Linked DNA regions of Drosophila melanogaster. The protein of the gene in region 2 interacts with the protein of the main gene of each other region in a pairwise test. Each region holds a gene or a part of one and is shown on either strand. Other genes may lie near its edges.

Region 1 (6,982 bases), on a different chromosome or scaffold from region 2:
GGTATACAAACATTTGTCGATAAATCCAAATCTTGTGCATCCGATGCCCGACATTGGGCGCCAATTATGTCAATAAGGGATAATAGGGATAAACTTCAGTCTTTTGCGGGATTACTTCCCCTGCTCTCTCACATTTGGAAAAGAATATCTATCTCTCCGGACTTTACACGTAGCTTGAAGATTTTTGCACTACACACACACACGAACACCGATCTACCACAAATAACCACAGAGTGCAACCTTAAAAAATAAGGATCGTGAATAGTAAAGAAACACATACGTTTCTTTGATAATTTCGCAAATTTATTGTTTTGTATAAATCTATTTTGTTTCCTTTCATTAGACGGCTTTTATCTTTAAGGTCTCCCTCCATGAAGGAGCAGTAATAAACTTTATTTCGGTTCATACTGCATGTCACGTAGCCTGCGATAATCGCATAGTTTTAGCCACCCACAATCCATATATTTTATGGTGTATATACTCGTATCTAGTTTGTAAGCCGTGTGTGCATGCAAGTTTCAGAGGACGAATTCCAATCGACAATAACGCGTCCATGTCGTGTCGTATTTTAGACGTATTTAGTTCTTTTTAAGCAGTATTCAACGACAGATTTTTGTTGTTTGATACTCTAGGTTAATGTTAAAGGGTCGTCGTGTACGAGTGGAGTCTGCATTTCGTTTGAATCGGCATAAATCCAATAAGTGTGTTGGAAAGATGCATTTTAGATGAGTTCCCGATTAAAGCGAGCAGCAGTGAATCCACTTTTGCAGGACTTCAAGGTGTCGCACCATCTGCCAGTTGACGGCTGGCGGAGATTGTAAATCCTCTCCACTAATCACAATATTCCCTATCATTCTTTGCCCATCTCGTTTGTTCACAGGATATGATACTCTACCAATAGATTCGATGCAGGGTCTGGAGATCAGCAGCCCAGTGGGCGGCGGCGGTGCTGGCGGTGCTCCCGGCAATGGTGGAGCTGTAGGCGGAGCTAGCGGCGGCGGTGGTAACATCGGCGCCATTCCGCCTAGCGGCGCACCAACTTCGCCCTATTCCATGGACATGGACGTTGGCGAGATTGATGCCGGTGCATTGAACTTTGACTTGGACGCCATGCCGACGCCACCCAATGACAACAACAACCTGGCTGCCTGGTACGATACCGATTGTTAGACAAGCCGAGCTAAGGGTAAGGGTCGAGTATCCATTCGACCCCATAACATAAAACACACGAATTCCCATCCCTGCACAATAGCCCTCTTCCACCGGCTTTGATTCCATCCCGGATCCCGGAATCGCGATCACCGAAACTTGACTAGATCAACGAAGGTGTGGATTTTACTTGACAAATACGAGGAGCTGCGGCAGGTCAAAGTTCTGCTTCCAGAACTGAAGTCCGTGGGAGAAGGCTATTTGCTCACACACCATACCCCGCGACAAAGCATACACACACGCATACATGCATAATATTATACATTTATTATAATGCGAACGAAACGGCAAGAAAAACATATTATATGATGCATTACATATTACCCACGTAAACGAAATGGAAAATTAAACAAATGTTTGCAATAGAACTCGTACATTTCCCTTCATATGGCGTTTTTCTTATTTGCTCCACAATTGGGTGCCGCAGAGTCACGGCTTGGAACAACGAGCCCTAAGTTCGAAGTTCGAACCTACTTTAAGATATTTCCAGTTTTCAAAAGTACTTGAAACAGTTTCGTAACAGATTAACGAAGGATGGCTTTATTAATTGAAGCTATACATCTACAGGTGCTTGCCGAACCACTTGTGGTCCACGGGCGAGAGCCAACGGTGGCAGCCGCTGAGGTTGTTCTGGATCACGTACTTCATGGTAAAGGGGTTCTCATTCTGGCGGGTCTGTTCCTCCTCGGCGACGCGCTGTTCGTCGAGCATCTCCTGGGAAACGACGGTGGCCTGGAAGGGCAGCTGGTTGGCCACCTGCTGCAGGAACTGCTTGACCTCAACGAACTCGCACTTGCCGGCTATCTCGACAATGACGCGACCGGCCTTGATGGGGGTCACGTAGTGGTCGATGGCTCCCTTTCCGCCGCCCATCCGTTGGCCCTGGCCCTTCTTAGTGATCGGCTGCCAGGGTGCGGGAACGCGCCATGTGGCGAACATAGTGTTGACGTTCATCTTGCGTCCGATGGTCAAACGCATCATTTCGTAGTGGCCCCAGCGCAGGCGCCCTCCGCCAGTGGCCACGATTGCGTACTGCTTATGGAGCAGCGTGTTGTGCACCATCTCCGGACCGCGCATGTATCGCAGGCGCTTCTGCATCTTTGGCGGACGGATGTTTGGCGGCAGCTGGGGCTGGCGCTCAATGACCCTCAGCTTGGGTCTCTCCGGCTGCTCCACATCTGGGGGTTCCCACATTCATTCATTTATTGCTCTAAATTCATTGTGCACATTTAAATGCAACTACTTACTCTGGTATTTAATAGGCGGAGCGAAATACTTAAGACCGGCTGTGTTGACAATTGCCATGTTGCCCGCTGCAAAGAAAAGTTTAAGTGGTTTGTTGCAAACTGTTATCGGATTGGATGTGGCTAGGCAGGAAGCGCCACTGCAACTTACACGCAAGGCTTTGCTTAAAGAGCTGGGAGACTAACTTTAATGAGAGCATGGTGAGTTTATGTCAAAATATATTACTTATTTATAAAATTGTATTGTGCAAAGATGTGTTGCATCAACGGCCACCGTTGCCAGATCGAGCTAATAAATGTGGTGCTAAAAACATATATCGATAGACCACCGATTGGTCGAGTGAGCTGACGGCCCTGTCCAGACTATGGTTTATTCTTGCAGTTGAAAATGTGCCATATTGCACGTGGAACACAATAATTATGTTATGTATTAAAAACTTCTGAAGTTAACGAAAAATGATTGCTGTACAAACGTTATTCGATTGCAACCGCCATGGCGATATGTTGAAATGGGATGGGAAAAGTGGTGGGTTTCTGAGTGGAAAACCAGGGATGGGTAAGAACGTTTCAGGGTAATGGTCGTTTTACCATCTGGTAACACTGCTCTGCATACACGAAAATAAAATTTTTTTGACTAATCGTGCATGTTTTCGCTCGGTAAAAAAAAAAGCAGGCCGCGCGAGCCCTAGCTAGCTAGACCGCCGCCCTTCCCGTCCCACGAAACGCAGCGCATCGCATCCGGCGTTCCGCGTTTCCACTTGTGTGTTTGTTATGAATATACCGAAGGTGACAACATCGCTTGGTGCCGCCGAAAAGGCGAAACCCGAAAGAGTAGCATCCGTGGCCGCCGCTGCCTTCAATGCGGTCAGCCTGCAGAAGCGCAGCGGCGACGACACCGCCACTCCGGCGGAGGATCCCACGCGCAAGAAGGCCAAGACGGAGCTGCTTCTCGGAACTGGAACGGCAGCGCCCAGTTTGCCCGCCAAAGCGTCGAGCACCGCGCCGCAGCAGCTCCTCTACCAGCGGAGTGGACAGCAGGCTAAGGCGCAGGTAAAAGCTGCGTCGGAGCCGCAGGATGTCGAGACGGCGGACGGCGTCTGGGACGCCCGCGATCAGCAGATCATAGTGTGCAACTTCGGCTCCGGCACTGAGATGGGTGCCATCAAGGCGGAGGACGCTGACAAGCAGAGTGAGTACAGAATCAGCACTCCAAGGAACAGTCAATCTAACCCTTTGCTACACCGAAACACAGCCTTTACCAGCTTTACCAAAAAGGAGGGTGCCTCATCGTCGGCCTCGTCATCATCGTCAACCGCGTCCGTCATTTCCATCGAGCCCAGTGGCTCGGGGCAGGATCATGCTGAAAACTCCGGCAAATCTGAGGACCTCGACTACGTACTGATGCCAGCCAGCGGCGCGGATAGCTCTACATCTGTGGGTAACTCCACCGGAACGGGAACACCAGCAGGAACGCCTATTGGAGCTACTACCTCCACCATTATTTTAAACGCTAACAACGGAACGGCAGGAGTCAGTGGAGCCGGCACCACTACAATCCTCACACAGAAATCCGGTCACACGAACTACAACATCTTCAATACCACGGCCACTGGTAGCCAAACGCCCACTACAACATTGTTAAACCGGGTGAATCTTCACCCCAAGATGAAAACCCAGCTGATGGTTAACGCCAAGAAGCTGTCGGAAGTAACGCAGACCACGGCGAAAGTGTCGATTGGCAACAAGACTATATCGGTGCCGCTGCTCAAGCCGCTGATGAGCGCTAGTGGAGCGGCCACAGCCGGAGGAGCCACGATTGTAGAGAGCAAGCAACTGCTGCAGCCGGGCGGTCAGGTGACTACCGTAATGAGTGCTGCGCAGCAAAGCGGTGGTCAGCAGGTCCACCCGCACGTCCATTCTCATGCACATCACAACTTTACCAAACTTATCAAACGCGGGCCAAAAAATAGCGGCACCATTGTCTCGTTTTCGGGGCTACAGATCAAGCCGGCGAACACCAAAATTGTGGCCACCAAGGTGGTGAGCAAAAAGATGCTGCAACTTCAGCAGCACCAACAACAGATCCAACAGCAGCAGCAGCTTCAGCAGCTGCAGGTGACCAGTGGTGGAGGCCTGGCTCCGCCCACAGGCAGCATAGTGACTATCACCACCACCAACCCCAGCCAAACGTACGCAATGGTTCAGGATTCCGCAACTGTGGGACCTGCGGCCCATTCGGAAGACGATGCGCCAGCGCCTCGAAAGATTACAGCCTACTCGGAGAACCTTCAAAAAATTCTCAACAAGAGCAAGTCCCAGGAATCGACTGGAGGCCCGGAGGAGTTCACCAACATCAACAGCGTGGTGATTAAGCCGCTCGACAAGAATACACTCAATTGTCCACCCAGCTTTAACATCTTTAAGCAGCAGCAGCACTCACAGGCTGCTCAAAGCCAATCAATCTCCGCGGTAGGCAGTGGAGCAGGCACACCCGTGACGTTTACCATGGCTTCGGGGAATGCCTCAGATCTGGCCACCACCTCCACCGTTTCCGTTTCGGCGGGGACCATCTGCATAAACAGTCCGATGATGGGCACGCGGCCAATAATCTCCATTCAGAACAAGAACATATCCCTGGTGCTGTCCAAGACGACCATGGCCCAGCAAAAACCGAAGATGATAACTACAACCACGTTGTCCAGTCAGGCGGCGCTGCAGATGCATCATGCTTTGATTCAGGATTCTAGTGCAGACAAGGCGGGATCTTCTGCAAACTCCGGATCAGCTACCTCGGGAGCTTCAATGCAGCTGAAACTAACGACCGCCAATACGCCCACCAAACTCAGCGTTAGTCTGGCTCCGGACGTAGTCAAGCTGGAAGAAGTTGGCAGCGAATCTAAAGCAAAGCTACTGGTCAAACAGGAGGCGGTTGTGAAGGATAGCACTGGTACTCCGACCAGTGAGGAGCGGGCTGAGGAGATCGGCACGCCGGAGAAGCGTTTGAACGCCAATGCCACAATGACGGCTATTAACCAGGTTCAAAATCAGTCCGCCAATCAAATTCAAATGGCCACATCTACCTCAACTGCCTCGAATCCCAGCACACCCAATCCTACAGTGAACGCCACACCTATGAACAACCAACGCTCGGCAGCGGAGGATAATGCACTTCTAAAGCAACTGCTCCAAAACAACAGCAGCAGTCATAGCCTCAACCAGATAAGCATCACTTCGGCTCACGTTGGTTCCGCCTCAGCTTCGGCACCTCTTTCCGCCCGCAAGGTTATCAACGTACGGGCGCCCAGCATGGGGAAGGTCAGAAGTTTGGAGGATCAACTGGCACGTCCGGTGATTCCTCCGGTGCCCACTGCCACGCAGGCGGCAGGTAGTAGTAGTAGCAGTGGATCTGTGGCCACGTCCACCACCACCACAACAGTAGCTAGCGGAGGAAGCAGCCAACAGGTAGCCACCGCCTCAGCGACGGCTCTACCTGTTAGTGCGGTCGCAATTACCACACCAGGAGTGGGAGGGGAGGCAAAGCTGGAGCAGAAATCCGATCAGCCAGCAGCAATTATGCAGAATCAGAGCCAAAACCAGGCGCCTCCACCACCACCGCCACCACAGCAGCAGCAGCAGCAGCAACTACACCAGCCGCAGCAGCTGCAACCGTCACCCCACCAAGTCAAGCAGACTGTGCAGATTGTGTCGAAGGAGACGTCGTTCATCTCAGGACCCGTTGCTGCTAAAACACTAGTGACGGAAGCCACTTCGAAGCCGGCTGAACTACTACCTCCTCCGCCTTACGAAATGGCCACTGCTCCTATATCGAACGTCACCATATCCATATCCACCAAACAAGCGGCTCCGAAGGAACTGCAGATGAAGCCCAAGGCGGTAGCTATGTCACTACCCATGGAGCAGGGCGACGAATCGCTGCCAGAGCAAGCGGAGCCGCCGCTTCATTCGGAACAGGGAGCTACTGCAGCGGGAGTTGCACCTCACTCCGGAGGTCCCCTTGTGTCTGCGCAATGGACCAATAACCATTTAGAAGGAGGTGTAGCCACCACAAAGATACCGTTCAAGCCTGGAGAGCCTCAAAAACGCAAGCTCCCCATGCACCCACAACTGGACGAAAAGCAGATCCAGCAACAGGCAGAGATTCCCATAAGCACCTCCCTACCAACAACTCCGACTGGACAAGGTACTCCCGACAAAGTACAGCTGATCTCAGCGATTGCCACTTATGTAAAGAAATCCGGTGTCCCGAACGAGGCACAACCCATCCAGAACCAGAGCCAGGGCCAGGTGCAGATGCAGGCGCAAATGCAGGCGACTATGCAAGGACACCTGTCTGGGCAGATGTCCGGACAAATCTCCGGACATGCCGCTGGACAGATACCCGCTCAAATGCATTTGCAAGTACAGCATCAGCTCCATATGGCAGTTCATCCACAGCAGCAGCAGCAGCAACTGCACCAGAACCAACCACAGAATGCGACGATTCCCCTTCCAGTTACTGGACAGGGTGC
Region 2 (9,962 bases):
CTCAAACACTTTACGATGCTTATAAATGGTCTCTAAATTGGGTTTCTATAGTATTTCCTAGATAAAATGATAGAACAAAGTAATTACCACTTTTGAACAATATCGTATAAGTCTGTTGTTAGAACTCCGAAATCTATAAGTCTATTAGCAAAACTGAACTAATACAACAATGGATTATTCAGCCATAGTGCTGCCCAGCAATAATCCGTTCTAAAGCCACTCGGGTTCGAATTTCAATTTGCCAAAATCCGCTAAGCGCGTCCGAAAGGCAAAAATTCCCCACACACTCGTGCAAAACACACTTCCTCCCAATGGAGAGGAAGTGGGTTGTTGGCCGTAGTTTGCGGACTGTGGAATGGGAACTTGGCCTGAGTGATTGCCAAGCGACTGCGGATTGCAGTTGAGCGACGGCAAAATCAATGCCGCAAATCCCAAAACTATTTTACCCAAAATGGCACCACCCCATCTACATACATCACACAACCCATACCGGGCCAAAGAAACCACTAGAATGGAAATGAGCAAATGCAGATCCATGCATCAGGACATCGTCGGCGGCCGCCACTGACGGAGGAGCAGCCACCTCAACGCATACGCAACCTGCCATGTTATTGGCACTTAACCAGAACCGAATGCAAGGAGCCAGCCAAGCAGACGCCTTTCAGGGATGCCACCCGGTGGCTGTGGATTGAGCCGGATCCGAATGGATGGGTCCCTGGGTCGGTATGACTGCCCGGCTCACTCCTGGCCAACTTGAACACACTGCGACCTACATTATGCAACCACAACAGTTTCCGCCATTGAGGATTCGATTGTACGTGACACTCGAAGTAAACATCGTCGCCTTCCTTGATATCATCCGGTGTCAAAGTTGAGCCCAAGCGTAACGTCACCAAGGGAGGATCTGCAAAGAGGAGCAAAGAAGGAAGACAATTAGCCACTGGAAATCCAATAATAACCTGAAATGGTAATCTAGAACTTAACTGCGAACGCGTGAATACACTTTCTATACTTTTTAGGTATAGACAAAAACTTTTTATCACACACTTTTTTTAAATAAATGACATGTTGTAGCAATCGTCCTTGAAACATTTTGTGAGCACTTCTATTTATTTCCTGCATAGGTCATGAGCCTTAGAAAATCCGAAATAAAATGTAAAAGGCCTATTAACTCAATGTCTTACAACCAAAATCTTTTCGATTATTCATGCCCCGAAGTTGTTGTGCCATACTTTTTCGAGCTTTGCAACTGTCTTGTCATCGCCCAGAATCCCGCACACTGTCATGATCAAGCTTATTTAATAGTTTTTGCAAATATGAGCGATTTAGAGCAATAACTGGAACAAAGTGAAGCATCAGCCAAGAGTTATGAGGACATGGCAACGACATCCCGCCCATCGACCGCTGTTTGCCAACATGTGTTGCCGCTTAAGTCGTTTGAATTTGCTTAACGAGCCACAAACTTTGCGACAAACAGAGACCAAAAGCGGCAAGAACCCGGACCCAGACAAGGAGACCTAGTACCAGAACTGGAACTGGGACCGGGACCAAGACCAAGACCACGAAGAGGACCTGGACCTGGGAAAGAAATAGGAGCAGGATCGGGAAAAAGGGGACGCACGTGCCAACCTTAATATTGTTGAGTTATTGGCGGCCAAAACCAAACGTCGACAGTCAAGAGTTGGGCAAAACGGAACCCAAGACCAGACCCAAAACCAAACACCAAGCCAAAGCCAAAAAGTTCCCTTCCGCCTTCGCCTGGAAACTTTAGAATGGCCTGGAAAACTTTTGCCCAGCAAGGGTGGCATTTCACCGCCGCCCACTTGTGTAGGCCCCTCGTTTCTCAGAGTCTGCCAATCAGGCAAAGTGCCCAAAGGGCTGTGAAAACTCTTTCGCTGGAAAAGTCGCGTCGCGCATTTCCGCACACATGTTGCAGGCCATTTTTGTGATTATCATTTACCGTTCCACCACGGATACCCTTGCCCCGCAATCTCCCGACAAACTCGTTTCTTTGGCCCAAAACGACCATCGATCGATGGCGGAGCGGAAGTTGCTCAGAATTTATGTGCCACCGTGGGCTGTTGTATTATGCCAACTGACACACGGGATTTGCCAGGGCTGCAAATATTAAAGATATTTTGGCAACGTAAGACATGAAACTTTTTCTACCATATTTAAATTGGTTGCAGCAATTCAATCAATTGAGCACTCATAAATTATAAGCACATTCTTTTGGGCCAATCCAATTATGCACATATTTTTTTGAATAATACTTGTATTAAAATTTGAAAATAAATACTAAGCAACTCTTTTATAACCTAAAAAAAATAAATTTGTTGCCAGCATTTATCGAGCTGGCATTGAGCTGCCCTCTTAATCAACTTAATAGGCTGTGCGAAATTAGGAAACACTATAGTCGCACGAAATAGCAAAATTTTACTCAGTCGATGAGATTGCTTTCGCCAGTACAAGTCGGCAGTTTTAATTATAAATCACAAAAAATTACAAACTAAAAAAAAAAAACAAGTTATCCAAATCTGTGATTGTGAATCCTGCAAAATGCCGTGTAAGAGAAGGACAACTAGTGCCCGACCAACAGCCAGAGCTCGAGAGATCGAAGAGGAGCAAGAGGTCCACGCCAAAATAAGGTCATATTCACGTTCCAGGGCGACAACATTGAAGGCATCAAGCGAGGCCATCAATCGCGACGTTTCACATCCAACCAGCAATAAGAAATGTGAAACCAATCTGAATTCCAAAAATGTTTCGCAAAAAGGACAAAAGTCACAGCTAATGACAGAAAGCGCTGGGAAATTTGATTCGGAGACAAAGAGAAAACGGCAGGCGACAGTCAGTGGTTCCAAGTCCCAACTTTTGGACGAGTTAGCGAGTGATTCAGATAATTATGTCAAGCAACTTCGAACGTTTTTGCGAAGTACGTCAAATACGGACGATGAACAAAAGAGGGATTCACCTGCACGGCAAAGCCGTTCTAGATCAAGACGCAGATGTACACAAAAAAATGAAAATCTCGATGAACCGGATCAAAATACAATTTTTAAAAAACCGGAAGTTTCTTCCAAAATAAATTTGGAAAAACATAACCAGAGGACTTCAACGGATAAAGAAAAGCAATATAAAGGTCAGAAACTAAATTCCTCCATTGAATCGATTTTGAATGTTTATGATGAGTTACCATCACATTCGGACAATCAAGCTTTAAACTTAAGCCAAAAACGTAATAATGCCTGGACTACGAAGTTGCCTGAGAGCAGTCCAAAAAATATACCGAAGAAGAATTTCGATTCAAAGTCTAGCGATTTAGAAGAGGCCGAAGAGAAAACATATTTAAAACGTCAGTCTGAGAGGAATTTTTATTCAGGTTACCGTTCGGAGTCTGAAGGGACAAATATCACGCCGGCTAAACGTTCTAAAGCTCAAATCAACTCAATACCTAAACTAGAGTACAGTACTACGTACGGCCAGGCTCAGAATTTAGTCGTGTCGGAAAACGCTAACATAACACAAAAGCCGAGTTCAGATATAAAATCGCGTTATCGTTCGACTGAGTATAATCAGATTAACAAGCCAGATTCTCAACAGCCCATCAACTATGCCCATCAGAAGGAAGAAACAATAGATAGGCGTCGTGAAATGCACATGAGAAAGGAACATCAATATGTAGATAATCACCTGAACAACCCGGCACAAAATAAGCCCGATCGTACTGTAAGTTTTTTAGAAATGCTCTCTCAGGCCGAAGCTAAAAAAGAAAGTAATCAAGGTGCTAAAAAGCCAACGGTTAATAAAGTTTCTAACGTTTCTCAATATCTAATCGATCTTGGCTTTACTGCCGGTAGCCCTAACCACGATAGCAATAGCAATGATGGTAACGATGAGCAAGACAATATTGATAGGCGCCTGAATGCTGATCTAGATTCTTTATTTACGACTGATGAGCTGGCATGTCCACCTCCACCTCCACTAGCAAAGATTCCAACAAATCTGACAGTTGAAAGACCACATTCTCGGCTATCGGATCCCAAGAAAATAGAATCTGATATAGATGCACGCCTCCAGGCGGAACTGGATTCTCTACCCATGGTAGCGGTACCAGCTGACGAGAATATAGAACCATTAGGTAAAACTGACCAACACTTTTCAGTACCTACAAACAAGAACTTGTCGGAGAACAAAGCTTTTCCGAAACCGAATCAGGTATGCATTCCTCCACAACCAGCTATTCCTCCACAACCAGCCATTCCTCCAGCACCAGCCTATTGTATGGCCAACAAAACCATGGATACAGGAATGTCTAGCGTTGTTCAGATGGCTAATAATCCGCTTGCTTCAACTCAGCATCACGCCTTGCCACAAGTGCCGATAGTCACGCGACTTAAGGTTGATCAGGGTGAGGATGTATCCGTCAAATTTACCACCGGTCTGGATGGACTAATTACCAATGTGCAATTGCTGCCATCAACGATGGCAATGGGTCAGCCAACAGTGAAGGCCACCGAATTAGAAAGCTTTACGGCCCAGCAACTGAATATGTTATTACAAAGTGGACATCCCTACCTGTCCTTGCCCATGACTAACTCTGGAGTTCCAGGTGCCGTGCTACAGGAAACGTTACAGACCAAAGATGCAGGATTTCCATCTGAACAAGCGGTCGAAGATGAGGAGGTTGACTATGAGGAAATAGGGGTGGCCGACACCTTTGCAGCTTACTGGCCCAGCAAACTGAAGTTTGGAAGAGCCCATCCCGATCCCGTGGTGGAAACGGCCACTCTGTCATCCGTTGAGCTGCCCAATATAAACTATCAGTTGGCCCTGCCCTCGAAGACCACCGAATGTTTGAGTGCCCTGCAGCTGGAGGCAGTGGTCTATGCCTGTCAGGCTCACGAGCAGATCCTGCCAAGCGGAGATCGCGCTGGATTTCTGCTGGGCGATGGGGCTGGTGTGGGCAAAGGCCGCACCATTGCCGGCATTATTTTCGATAACTACCTGAAAGGGCGGAAACGTGCCCTTTGGGTCTCGGTCTCCAGTGACCTCAAGTTCGATGCAGAGCGGGATCTAGCCGATATAGGAGCCCACGAAAAGATCCGTGTAGCGACAATCAACAAGTTTAAATACAGCCCCATTGATTCCGAAGAAAATGAAAATTTCAAGCGCGGCGTGATATTTTGCACTTACACAGCTTTAATTGGAGAATCAATGACGACCAACTCGAAGTACAAGACTCGTTTTCGCCAGTTGACCAATTGGCTGGGCAAAAAGTTCGAAGGAGTGATCGTCTTTGATGAGTGCCACAAGGCCAAGAACCTAAGCCTGATGAATGTGGGTAAGTCCACCAAGACGGGAACGACTGTTCTGGATCTACAGAAACTGTTGCCAAACGCCAGAGTGGTCTATGCTTCAGCCACGGGAGCAAGTGAGCCCCGGAATATGGCCTATATGGTGAGATTGGGCCTGTGGGGTCCAGGTACCGCCTATCCAGAATTCTACGAATTTGTTAACGCCGTGGAGAAGCGCGGCATAGGAGCCATGGAAATCGTTGCCATGGACATGAAGCTAAGAGGTACTTACATAGCACGTCAACTTAGCTTCAAGGATGTGAGTTTTCGCATCGAGGAGGTGAACATGTCGAAGGAATTTCGCAAGAGCTATAATTTGTCTGCCGAACTCTGGGCTGACATACACAAGAAGTTCCAGAAGGCGTGTCGCCTAATGTGCGTCGAGAATAGGGTGCAGAAGATTATAACCTGTCAGTTCTGGTGCGCCCATCAGCGTTTCTTCAAGAACCTGTGCATTGCCTCCAAAGTGAATCACGTGGTCAAGATGACGCGGCAGGCGACACGAATGGGAAAGGCGGTGGTCATTGGCCTTCAATCTACTGGGGAGTCGCGTACCCTGGAGCATCTAGAACGTCATCATGGAAAGCTTAACAGCTTTGTGTCCACCGCAAAGATGATCATTCAGTCGTTTGTGGAAAAGCACTTCCCAGCTCCTAAACGCGACTCGTTTCATCATTTACTAAATACGGGTGAGTTTGAGCCGGAGGCACGTTCCCGCCCACCCAAACAGAAGAAGTCAAAAATGAATACCGATTGGGTTGAAGATGATATGGATGCCGAGGCGGGCGAAAGCGACATCGAGATGTACGAGAGAAGCTGTACTGCGGCTGTTGAGAAGATTAAGTCTGGACAAAAGCGGCGAGGACGACCGCCCAAGGCGGACAAAGGTATGTTGATCTAAGTGGTTTATTTTGAATAAATATTAATCATTTTAATCCCTTAACCAGTGGAGAAGATTACCATGCAGGAGCGCATCCTGGAGCATCTTTGCAATAATATGAGGGAACAGGATAACGAAGATGAATCCACAAACACTTCCGACAATACCAAGGTAAAGGTAAACATCACGGAGCGTGATGTAGAACGCTGTATAAACATGCGTGAGATGCTGCTGGAGAAAATCGATGTTCTGGGCAGGAAGTTGCCGCCCAACACGCTCGACAAACTAATCTCTGAACTGGGTGGCACCAATTTGGTGGCCGAGATGACAGGCCGTCGTGGAAGAGTGGTGCGAACGGAGTACGATGGGTATAAGTATGAGCCACGTTGTGAAAACGACTCCACTATGGACCTGGTCAATTATCGGGAGAAGCAACGCTTCATGGATGGCAGCAAGCACGTGGCCATCATCTCGGAGGCGGCCTCCAGTGGAATATCTTTACAGAGTGACAAGAGGGTTTCTAATCAGCGGCGCCGTCTGCACATCACTTTGGAACTCCCATGGAGTGCAGATCGGGCCATACAGCAATTTGGGCGCACCCATCGCTCCAATCAGGTCAATGCACCGGAATATGTATTTGTGATCACCGATCTGGCTGGTGAGCGTCGATTTGCATCCACGGTGGCCAAGAGACTGGAGAGCTTAGGAGCCCTTACCCAAGGCGATCGTCGTGCCACCGATGCCCGTGATCTCTCCCAGTTCAATATCGATAATAGCATCGGGCGCAGTGCCCTTGAGAATGTGATGCAACAGCTGACCAGCAATAAACCACTGGACCGGTCTCAAGTGCCTCAATCGTATAAGGGAAACTTCATATACGATTGTTGCGTGGCAATGGCCGGCGTGGGTATGATCAATGTGCGGGAGGAGAACAAGGTCAAGGTGTTCACCGTGGAGAAGGATAGTAATAATATCTCAAAGTTTCTAAACCGCATCCTTGGATGCCGGGTGGAAGTGCAAAATGCACTTTTTAAATTCTTTCTGGACAAGATGTACTCACTGATCATGCAAATGAAGCGCACAGGACGCTTCGATTTGGGGATTTTAGATCTGGATGCCCATGGAGCAAGTGTAAAATCCATCAAGCTGATGAGGTTCATTAGGAAGCACGCCACAGGAACGGCGGCCACCGAACTTCATACGGTGACAGTGGAACGTGGTATGTCCTTTGAGACAGCCCTAGCCAAGTGAGTTGAAATTTATATGGGTTAAGTGTATTTAACTAACTTATAAACTCCCATAGATACCGAAAGGAGGGCCAATACGAGCACGAAGGCTTCTATATTCTACAAAAGCGGCGCCAAAACAAGAACTCCGCAATTTTATGCCTGCAGGCACCGTCCAATTCATCGGATGTATCAAACGGAAAGATCAATTTGCAAATCTACCGACCCAATACAGGTCCCCAAGTGCGATTGGAGACACATGCCTCCATTTCATCACGATATGTGAAGGTAAGCCCGGAGGAGGCCCAAACATACTGGGTGCAGCAGTACGAATTGTGCTTGAATATGTGCTCACACCTCTACTGGAATCGGACCTGTCCAATGCCGACGGGCTGTGAAGTAGGACTCCGAATGCGTACCTATCACGTGCTCTCCGGGTTAATGCTACCGATTTGGGACCGGATCGAACTCATTATCGTAAATAGCGGACACAAGATCCAGATCATACGCATGAAGACCGATGCAAACAAGAAGATAGTGGGTACGGTGGTACCGCCTGCCGTCTACGATGACCTGGTGGCCGATTTGTCCACGGATTCCCTCGTGGAGAGCCATTAAAATGACACCGCCCAGTGTACGGCGAAGCGCACAGCACTTCTATTGCCACTTTAAAAATATCAACCGAAATTGTAGCATTCAATGCAATACATGTGGCGTAAGCTTTCGCTTTTTCAAAATGCCAAGCACGCTCCACCAGCTCCACCCAGGAGGAGCAGCACGCCCATGTTCCCGGCAATAAACAATGGCCACAGAAGCACATACGGGAAGACACTTACAGCTCGTCTGCGTGCGTATGTGATTCATATGTATTGTCTGCTGCGCTGCGGAGTGAGCTTCGCATACACTAAAAAAAAAATAAAGCTACCCAAAAAAAAATCGTCTTGTTTTTTAATATATTGTATTATGTAAATTGCAAAGGTAATTGGAAGGGGTTGTCAATCACAGCCAGTAGAATGGCTTAAATTTAATTTAAATTAATAATTATGAATGAAATGAAACTTGTTACTTTATTTAACCGCAGTGCTCTTTCTTTTCCAATCCTGCGCTCTTTGGGGGATGTCTGTGATTGCATTCCATGTTTTGTCTTGTTGCCATTGCTAGGAGACCAACTAAGGCTGCCCCGCTCGGTTACATTATAAATTTTAAAACGACCCAGTCGCTTGCACCCTGCCACACATGCGAGATATAAACAAAATTATACAAAGGGGAGGGAAGGATTGTGGCGCATGAGATGGGCAACGCGTGGCATAAACCATGACCAAATGGCCTTGGCAAATGTCGTGCCTAAGGAGCCAAAACGCAGTTGGCATAATAACTCACGCGTGATGCAGATATCGTATTCCAACAGCACTGGCAACAACAACAAAGACATAAAGATGCCGAGGCATATAAATTCAGTTGTTATCTAAATAAGAACAAACTGTTATTTATCTGGCCATAAGGGTATGTAAGGATCTCTAATGAAGTTATAGCCAACAATATTTGCAAATTTCAGTTTTCCTAATCCTTTTTTTTTAAGTAAACCCATGTTATTGGTCTTGAATGATTGTAAGCTCTAATCTGATCATAATTTGATTTCTTTTCTGTAGGACATCAAAGTCTTAAATAAATAAGCAAGTTTAAAAGAACTTCGCAAGCCTGCCCCAACAGAAGAATTTTTTTAAAAACACAAACATTTGGGCGCACATTTATGTGTATGTGGCTACGTGCCGATCATAAAGTTTATTTGCGCCAACGTAGCAACAAACACAACACCGTAAGGACGGTACAAAGCACCGTCAATTGCTATAACGTGAGCAAAAACAAACAAATAAAAAATAATATTCTAAAACATAAAATATGAGCCTGCAAAGTATGTGTGGGGCATAAAAAATATAATCATATTACGCCTATACACACAGCCAAACGCAAAAACACACAAACGTACTTTTTTCTTTTGGGCGTAAGCGAAACTGTTCAGCGGAGGCGTGGCAACCTCTTTCAGATTGAAGTAAAGAAAATATTCATATTTTAAGAAATGAAAAGCAAAGAAACGCTATTACGTGATGCCCTTGGAAACAGGAAAAATAAAATGGGGAACAGAACGGAGTACGAAAAATGTTGACTGTGGCATACATGGCGGATACGGAACGCCATTGAGTTCGATTCATTTTCCCTATCCGGCACTTTTGTTTCACACTTTACGATGTCCGCAGTACTTCCCAGTTGGTTATTTCAGTGCTGTGGAATACGAATTAAAGTGGCTTAAAGTGGAAATTACAATTATTGGGAGATTTTGTTCATTCTGCAGGTAAAATCTGTGCGTGGCGAAAGCATTTCGGATTCAGTTTCAGATCTACACTTTAGGTCTACTTTGCAAAGTTATTTTTTATTTATTTTTATTGAAACGGGGCCACAGCTAAAGTCCTTCATTTAATTTAAGCGACTGCCATACATTTT
Region 3 (5,992 bases), 190 kb from region 2:
AAAAACAAAATTTTCTTATTTTTTGCTTATTATTTCCTATCGAAATCTATATACCCCAAGCTGTGATTATTAGATTAAGCGTCTGCGATGAGGTAGCAAAATTCTAGCACTGCATTAACAGAGCTGATTTCTGATCAGGGGTTGAGGACCTTTAGCCTGATCTTTCTTCTTGTTAATTTGTTTTGCTTATTTTGGAGCTGATTAGCTATATACCGATTAAAAGCTTTTCAATTGCCACTAAAAAAAAAGTATAAGAAACGGCGAAGACTTTTTAGCGCTGCATTTAAATTCACAAGCTTAACAGTATTCTTTTAGGCTGAATTTGCTCTCAAAAAAAGTACAATTGGTTTGGAAAATTTTAAATGTTTTTGAATGTAACCAAACACAGCGAAAAAAAATACAAATAATATTTCTTTAAAAAAAAGGATGTAAAGAAATAAACTAGTCTTATTAGTTTAATAAATACAATTTTTTAAGACACATAATTTCTATGTTTTTATAGACGGTACTTGTGGAGTAATTGAGTATACCAAATTCTTTAAAAAGTCTGTGGGAGTTCGAAGAAGGCGTTGCCGAACCTTTACCTATACAGAATATATATATTCTTCACCAGCATCACCAGCGGAGTCTATCTAGCCGTATTCGTTTGGCCATCTGTCTGTAAGCCTGTCTGTATGAACTGAATGAGATTCAGACCTCTAAATAGTTCCAATTCTTTCAGAACCTGTGCCAACAACACTCTAGATTCTTCATTGATTTCATCTAGTCTTGTCTTGTAAATATCTTAGTTCTTCTATTAGCTAAGAAATGGGTATCTGATAATCGAGGAATGCGACTATAGTGGTCTAACCTGTTAAGCGCTAAAATTCAAAGACATAACATAATTATACGTATGTATAAAAAATTAATCCATGATTACAAGGATTTCATACTTAATTATCCCTCCTCATTTCGAAAGTCTAATGATAACCCAGAAAAGCAAACAAGAACATTTGTTGCCGTAACACGTTTGTGATGCGTGAAAACGGAACATAAATGATCTAAAGTAATCTCAAACAACGTCTTCTTCTAAGTCGCCCTTAGTTTTTCTTAGCAACTGTTGCGGACTTATTAGATTAGGCTCGACTTCCCAGATAAGATTGATGTTGAAGGGTTCCCCCCGTTGAGCATAGGCATTGATACAGTGCTCAAATATTAATTTCCCAGACGTCTGGAAATTTTTTTCGTATTTTTGTTGGGTTAATTGTACTTGATTTTGTCAGAACATTGATAATACTTCGGCGCGTGACGACATGATGAGATTGCAGGAGAGTATAAAAGATCGGAGGCGTCCAAAAATTTTATTCACATTAGCAAGACTAACCGAAGTATCAGCACCATGAAGTTTTTGGTACGTTTTACATATACGCTTCAAAGAAAAACCTTTAAGAACTAAGTTGATTTTAATATTGTTACAGATCCTCTTCATTGCCCTATTCGCCGCGGCCGCTGCCCTACCTCAGTTTGGATTCGGCGGTGGATTCGGTGATCAGCAGCAGCAGCAGCAAGGAGGATTTGGAGGTGGATTTGGTGATCAGCAGCAGCAGCAAGGAGGATTTGGCGGTGGATTCGGAGGTGGATTCGGTGATCAGCAGCAGCAGCAGCAAGGAGGATTTGGAGGTGGATTCGGAGGTGGATTCGGTGATCAGCAGCAGCAACAGCAACAAGGCTGGTAAAAACCAATTCATAGCACCGTCTTAACGCAGATACCTCAATAAAAATATGACACCTTTATGATAAAAAAACAATTGGAATTTTTTACTTTATCGTTCTCGAAAATTTATGAGTTTTATGAAAATAAATTTATATTTATTATTCATTTATATTTATTAAATAGTGCCCAGAAATAAATACACTTAACATAAGGGACAACGGGAAATATCTTCTCTTTCAGATGTTCAAATGGTTTTACTTAAAACATTGTAAATATAAATAAAAGCCAAAATATAAAAGCCATATTATAAATATAAGCCAAATTTTCACAAAAATTTTGTTTTTCTTTGAAATATGTAACGCAACTAAAAAGCGGATTCAACATGATTGAAAAAACAGATACAATTTCGAGTATCCTAATCAATGGCCTCCTCAGCAGCCACCCTTTTGTGCTCCTCGATCTGCACCTTGTCCAGATCGACTCCATCTTTTTTGGCTGCCCGTATCTCGCCTTCCCCCTCCGATCCGTCTAGCTGGTTGGTCTGCCAAACTCCTGTCCACGGCAGTGACATCACTGACATGACCTTGACCAGACTGCTATGGTTTTCCTGGTCTAGATCACTCTCCCCATTTCCTTCCCGTATTCGTCTGTCTCCATCCGGCAACTGCAACTCCTCGCAGCACAGCATGGAAATCAGCAAGTGCTCAACGAAGAGGGTTCGCCGCAGCCTTTGAGATTCGTCCGTATCGTGGCACTGCACTTTTTGCTGTGCAATCCACTGAAGTAGAACATATCTGTCGTCGTCGTGTTCGAATGGCCCCCCGGAACTCAAGCCTAACGCCAGGGACTCTGAATTGGCTGCCTCCTCTGGAGGATCATTGTTGCTTAGGAGCTGGGGATCGGAGCTCACACGTCCAGTTGACAGCCATACGGATATATCGAATATCCTTGAATTCGGAGTTGTTTGCAACTGCGATTGGCGGTGGTGGCGCATGTGATTACGGGTAAATATTCGGCGTAGTGGCGGTGTGTCGGGCTCTAGGTAATTGGCGTGATCGATGTGGTTGTGCAGGAGATGTTTGGAAAGGTGGCGTATGGCCACCAGTTCGGCGGCCGACAGTCCGGCGCACATGGGGCAGACCACATATTCATTGGACACCCGATGTTGAACGTAAACATGTTCGATGAACCGCTTCGCTGTGAGCGCAAGTAGGCCGCAATGTGGACAGGTGAAGCAATTGGACAGGTGGACCAGCTCTGGGATTTCGCCGTAAAGCAGCGGAACCAGATCGTCCGAGTCAGGGAACAATTGCATGGGATGATTGGCGCGATGCTCTTCCGTTTCTATCTGATGATCGTAGCATATGTCACATAGGTTATAGTTCACGCAGCGCAAACACCGGAAGCGGCTACCCTGGAAGATCGTCATTTGACAGCCGTTGCAGCAAATGTTGCGGTGACCCATCCTCGATCCTTGTGCTAACTTCGTTCTTAGCGAATATACCTAAACTCTGGTCGAAAAAACGGGCAAAAGGGTTCTAAATTTTAACAAATCGAATCTATACAATGACATGATTTTCATAGATGTAAAATATTTCGGGGCGTTTGGTAATAACATATAATTCTACTTTTAAAACTATTTTTCAACCTAAATGTATCAAACTTACTCAAGCTTTCTACATATTTCCTTTGCCTCTTTTAAACAAATGTTTATTTTTGGAACCTTAAGTACAGCGAAAAAAAAGTTAAATAAACATGCACTGTACTATTTTGTCCGGTGAGCACAGCTATCTACGTGACAAATAACGATAATGCAATTTGTTTTCCAAACCTATATGAAACGAGAAATAAGCCCCCATTATTGATAAGGAACTAAATCTTTTATCTAAATCTTTTGACAGTAGAAGATAACTCAAAGGATATTTTATATTTGCTCAAATCAGAATGCAGTTATCGAAAATTAAACTTCCCTTGAGCTGAAAATTTAGCTTGAATTTATAATTATACATATGTCCAAATGTAATACAGCTTCAGTGTGTGTACACATAAAATTCAAAACCCAAAAAATCCACAAAAATTGCTATTTTAGTAGGTATTGCGTTGAACACATCGGTTCTAAATGTGGCTGTTGTGCCATTAGTTACTCTTCTGTCTCTGTCTCGGTTTGAATCTCCATCTCGCTCTCTTCTTTTTAATTTTCCCGACTTGGTGCGCGGCAGTTGTAATAGAAGTTTTCCGGCTTCATGCACCTCCGCCCTTGCACCACCCCCTTTCGGCGACCATTGTGGTGGATTCAGTACACTCTTAAAAATAAGATGTTTAATAAATAATGGATAACATATAAAATAATTATTTCATGGTTCAGTCCTTTGAAACACTGCGGAACCTTATAAATGAAAATGACGTGCATACATTGGACTGGAAAACTAGGAAACTATTCTGAACTTATATTTTAAAATAATTTTCAAATTCATTATTAGGTTTAAATAAGATGTCAGCTTCAGAACTTTGAAATTATTGGAACATTTTTGGGAGTGCATAGCAGAGCTCCTGTTTTTGCGCTGGTGTTGGTAATTATATTATAGAGTGTGGCGGACGGAACGCAATCTCTTCGCCAGAATGAGTGTGTGTGTGTGTGCGTGGGCAACTTATGTTTACCAAGTGCGAAAGTGGAAACGTGCTGCAAACATGGAGTCCTGCCGCCACTGCCTCCCTTTCTCCCACTTTCCCAGTGTTTTACGCTTTATAATAGGATTTGAATACAATGGCATTGTAATGAAATGTGCAGCAAACGATGGTCTGCAGACGGTCGGTCTGTCGGTCTGTAGCAAGTCGAGCTCTGCGGTTGCCTTTGGACTGGGGCAACTTCTGCGATTGCGATACGGTTCTGCAGCGGTTCTCCGCCGGCTGTCCCTTGGCAAGAACAAGCCAAACAGCTGTTCCTCCTCCGTCTGTTAGTCTGTCTGTCTGCCTGGCCGTGTAATTTGAGTTGGTAATTAAAAGTAAAGCAAAAGGCAAACTGCTGCAACGGCCGCACATCAAGGCACCTCTTCACACGTATGCTCCGTACGCTTTCTAATGCCAAAGCAGTCTTCCAAGTGCTCCACATTGGTTTTTATTCGAGACTGCTGCTTTAAAAGGTGTCCTGTTTAAATCGGTCCTAGGGAATATATCTGATTCTGCACAATATCCTGGTGGCTGACGGATCTAAGCAGTAAAAACATACAAGACATGTTTAAAAAACGAAGAATAAATTGGTCATGCCCAAAAGTAAAGCTACAAAGGCGGTGCTTTTTTAAGTTCCAAACTCTCGAGCAGCGTCAAAAGGCTTGAAAGCCCTATTTAGTTGAGGACGAAATATGTACTTCTACGAAAATTTAAAGAAGAGAACGAGAAAACCCCATCAATCATTGCCTGTCGACCTTTGTTGATTAGTTTATCAATTAAACGTAATTGAAATTTTATTTTCATTAGCCTTGCAAAGGGTGTCGTTAAGCCCGCTTCAATTGTGCTAATTAATGGCAAGCCTGTCTGAGAAGCTTCACCGAAATCTCGCAGCCATAAGCGATTTGGAAAATCAGAAGCCTTGATGAAAATTAGAAGGCATTGCTCATTAGAATTGGTAGGTGGAAAACGGAAAATGGATACTTCTAATTGCCCTACGCTTTTCCTTTTGTCGGAAGCTGTCAATGAAAATTCGTTCCTTGGCCTCTTTTATTTATGTTAATTCATTTGCCTTGCTTTGTTCGATTTCAGATTTTTTTTTTTTTTTGCTCCCCCCAGCGTGACGATATGCTCAATTGCTTTTGTAATCAATCAAAGTCAAAAGCGCAAAATGTTACTTACATACACGTATTGGGGGAGGCGTTAAAGGAGCATGTCCTGATGGGTTCGGGGGCCCGGATGGGTTGCAAAGTGCAGCCAGGATGCTCGGGGCGGAAACTGGATTGTCATGTGTGCTCGCGGGTCTCCCGATGCTAGATACTCAATGCTGGATGCTCGATGCTCTTTGCTCGTATTTTGTGTTGGTGTTTGACGTGACACTTGAGCGACACTTGAAGCCCGATAATTGATATTGTGCAGCCTGGAGTTGGGTGTACGGATGGGGAAACGGATGGGACTACGGATGCGGCTCCGGATGTGCGGGGCGTGGCCAAGTGCCGGTGTGCGACAGTTTCGGATTCTTGTAATTGTCGCTGACACATTTCGTGGTTTAGTTGTGGGTGAATGTCCGTCAATCACAAGTTAAGTCCTAAGTTAAGTTCATTTATAAGAAAAGGCTGTATATATAATTCTATG

The links.
Region 1: the proteins of CG3491 (region 2) and trr interact in a two-hybrid assay, tested with the Drosophila melanogaster proteins (one large-scale study listed by BioGRID).
Region 3: the proteins of CG3491 (region 2) and CG31835 interact in a two-hybrid assay, tested with the Drosophila melanogaster proteins (one large-scale study listed by BioGRID).

Annotation. Positions count from the first base shown.
Region 1 is NC_004354.4:1,886,018-1,892,999, reverse strand, and holds the start of trr (trithorax-related), read left to right. Parts: upstream 1-3,049; 5' UTR 3,050-3,224; coding exon 3,225-6,982. Other genes in the region: arm (armadillo), read left to right, coding at 881-1,170; mRpL16 (mitochondrial ribosomal protein L16), read right to left, coding at 1,771-2,387, 2,457-2,522, 2,605-2,653. UniProt on the Drosophila melanogaster protein: Histone methyltransferase that acts as a coactivator for the ecdysone receptor during development. Specifically trimethylates 'Lys-4' of histone H3, a specific tag for epigenetic transcriptional activation.
Region 2 is NT_033779.5:14,922,176-14,932,137, forward strand, and holds CG3491 (uncharacterized protein), read left to right. Parts: upstream 1-2,414; 5' UTR 2,415-2,559; coding exon 2,560-6,244; intron 6,245-6,304; coding exon 6,305-7,484; intron 7,485-7,540; coding exon 7,541-8,081; 3' UTR 8,082-8,390; downstream 8,391-9,962. Other genes in the region: side-II (sidestep II), read right to left, coding at 774-904.
Region 3 is NT_033779.5:14,733,117-14,739,108, reverse strand, and holds CG31835 (uncharacterized protein), read right to left. Parts: upstream 3,267-5,992; 5' UTR 3,159-3,266; coding exon 2,109-3,158; 3' UTR 2,042-2,108; downstream 1-2,041. Other genes in the region: CG31775 (uncharacterized protein), read left to right, coding at 1,379-1,390, 1,458-1,715.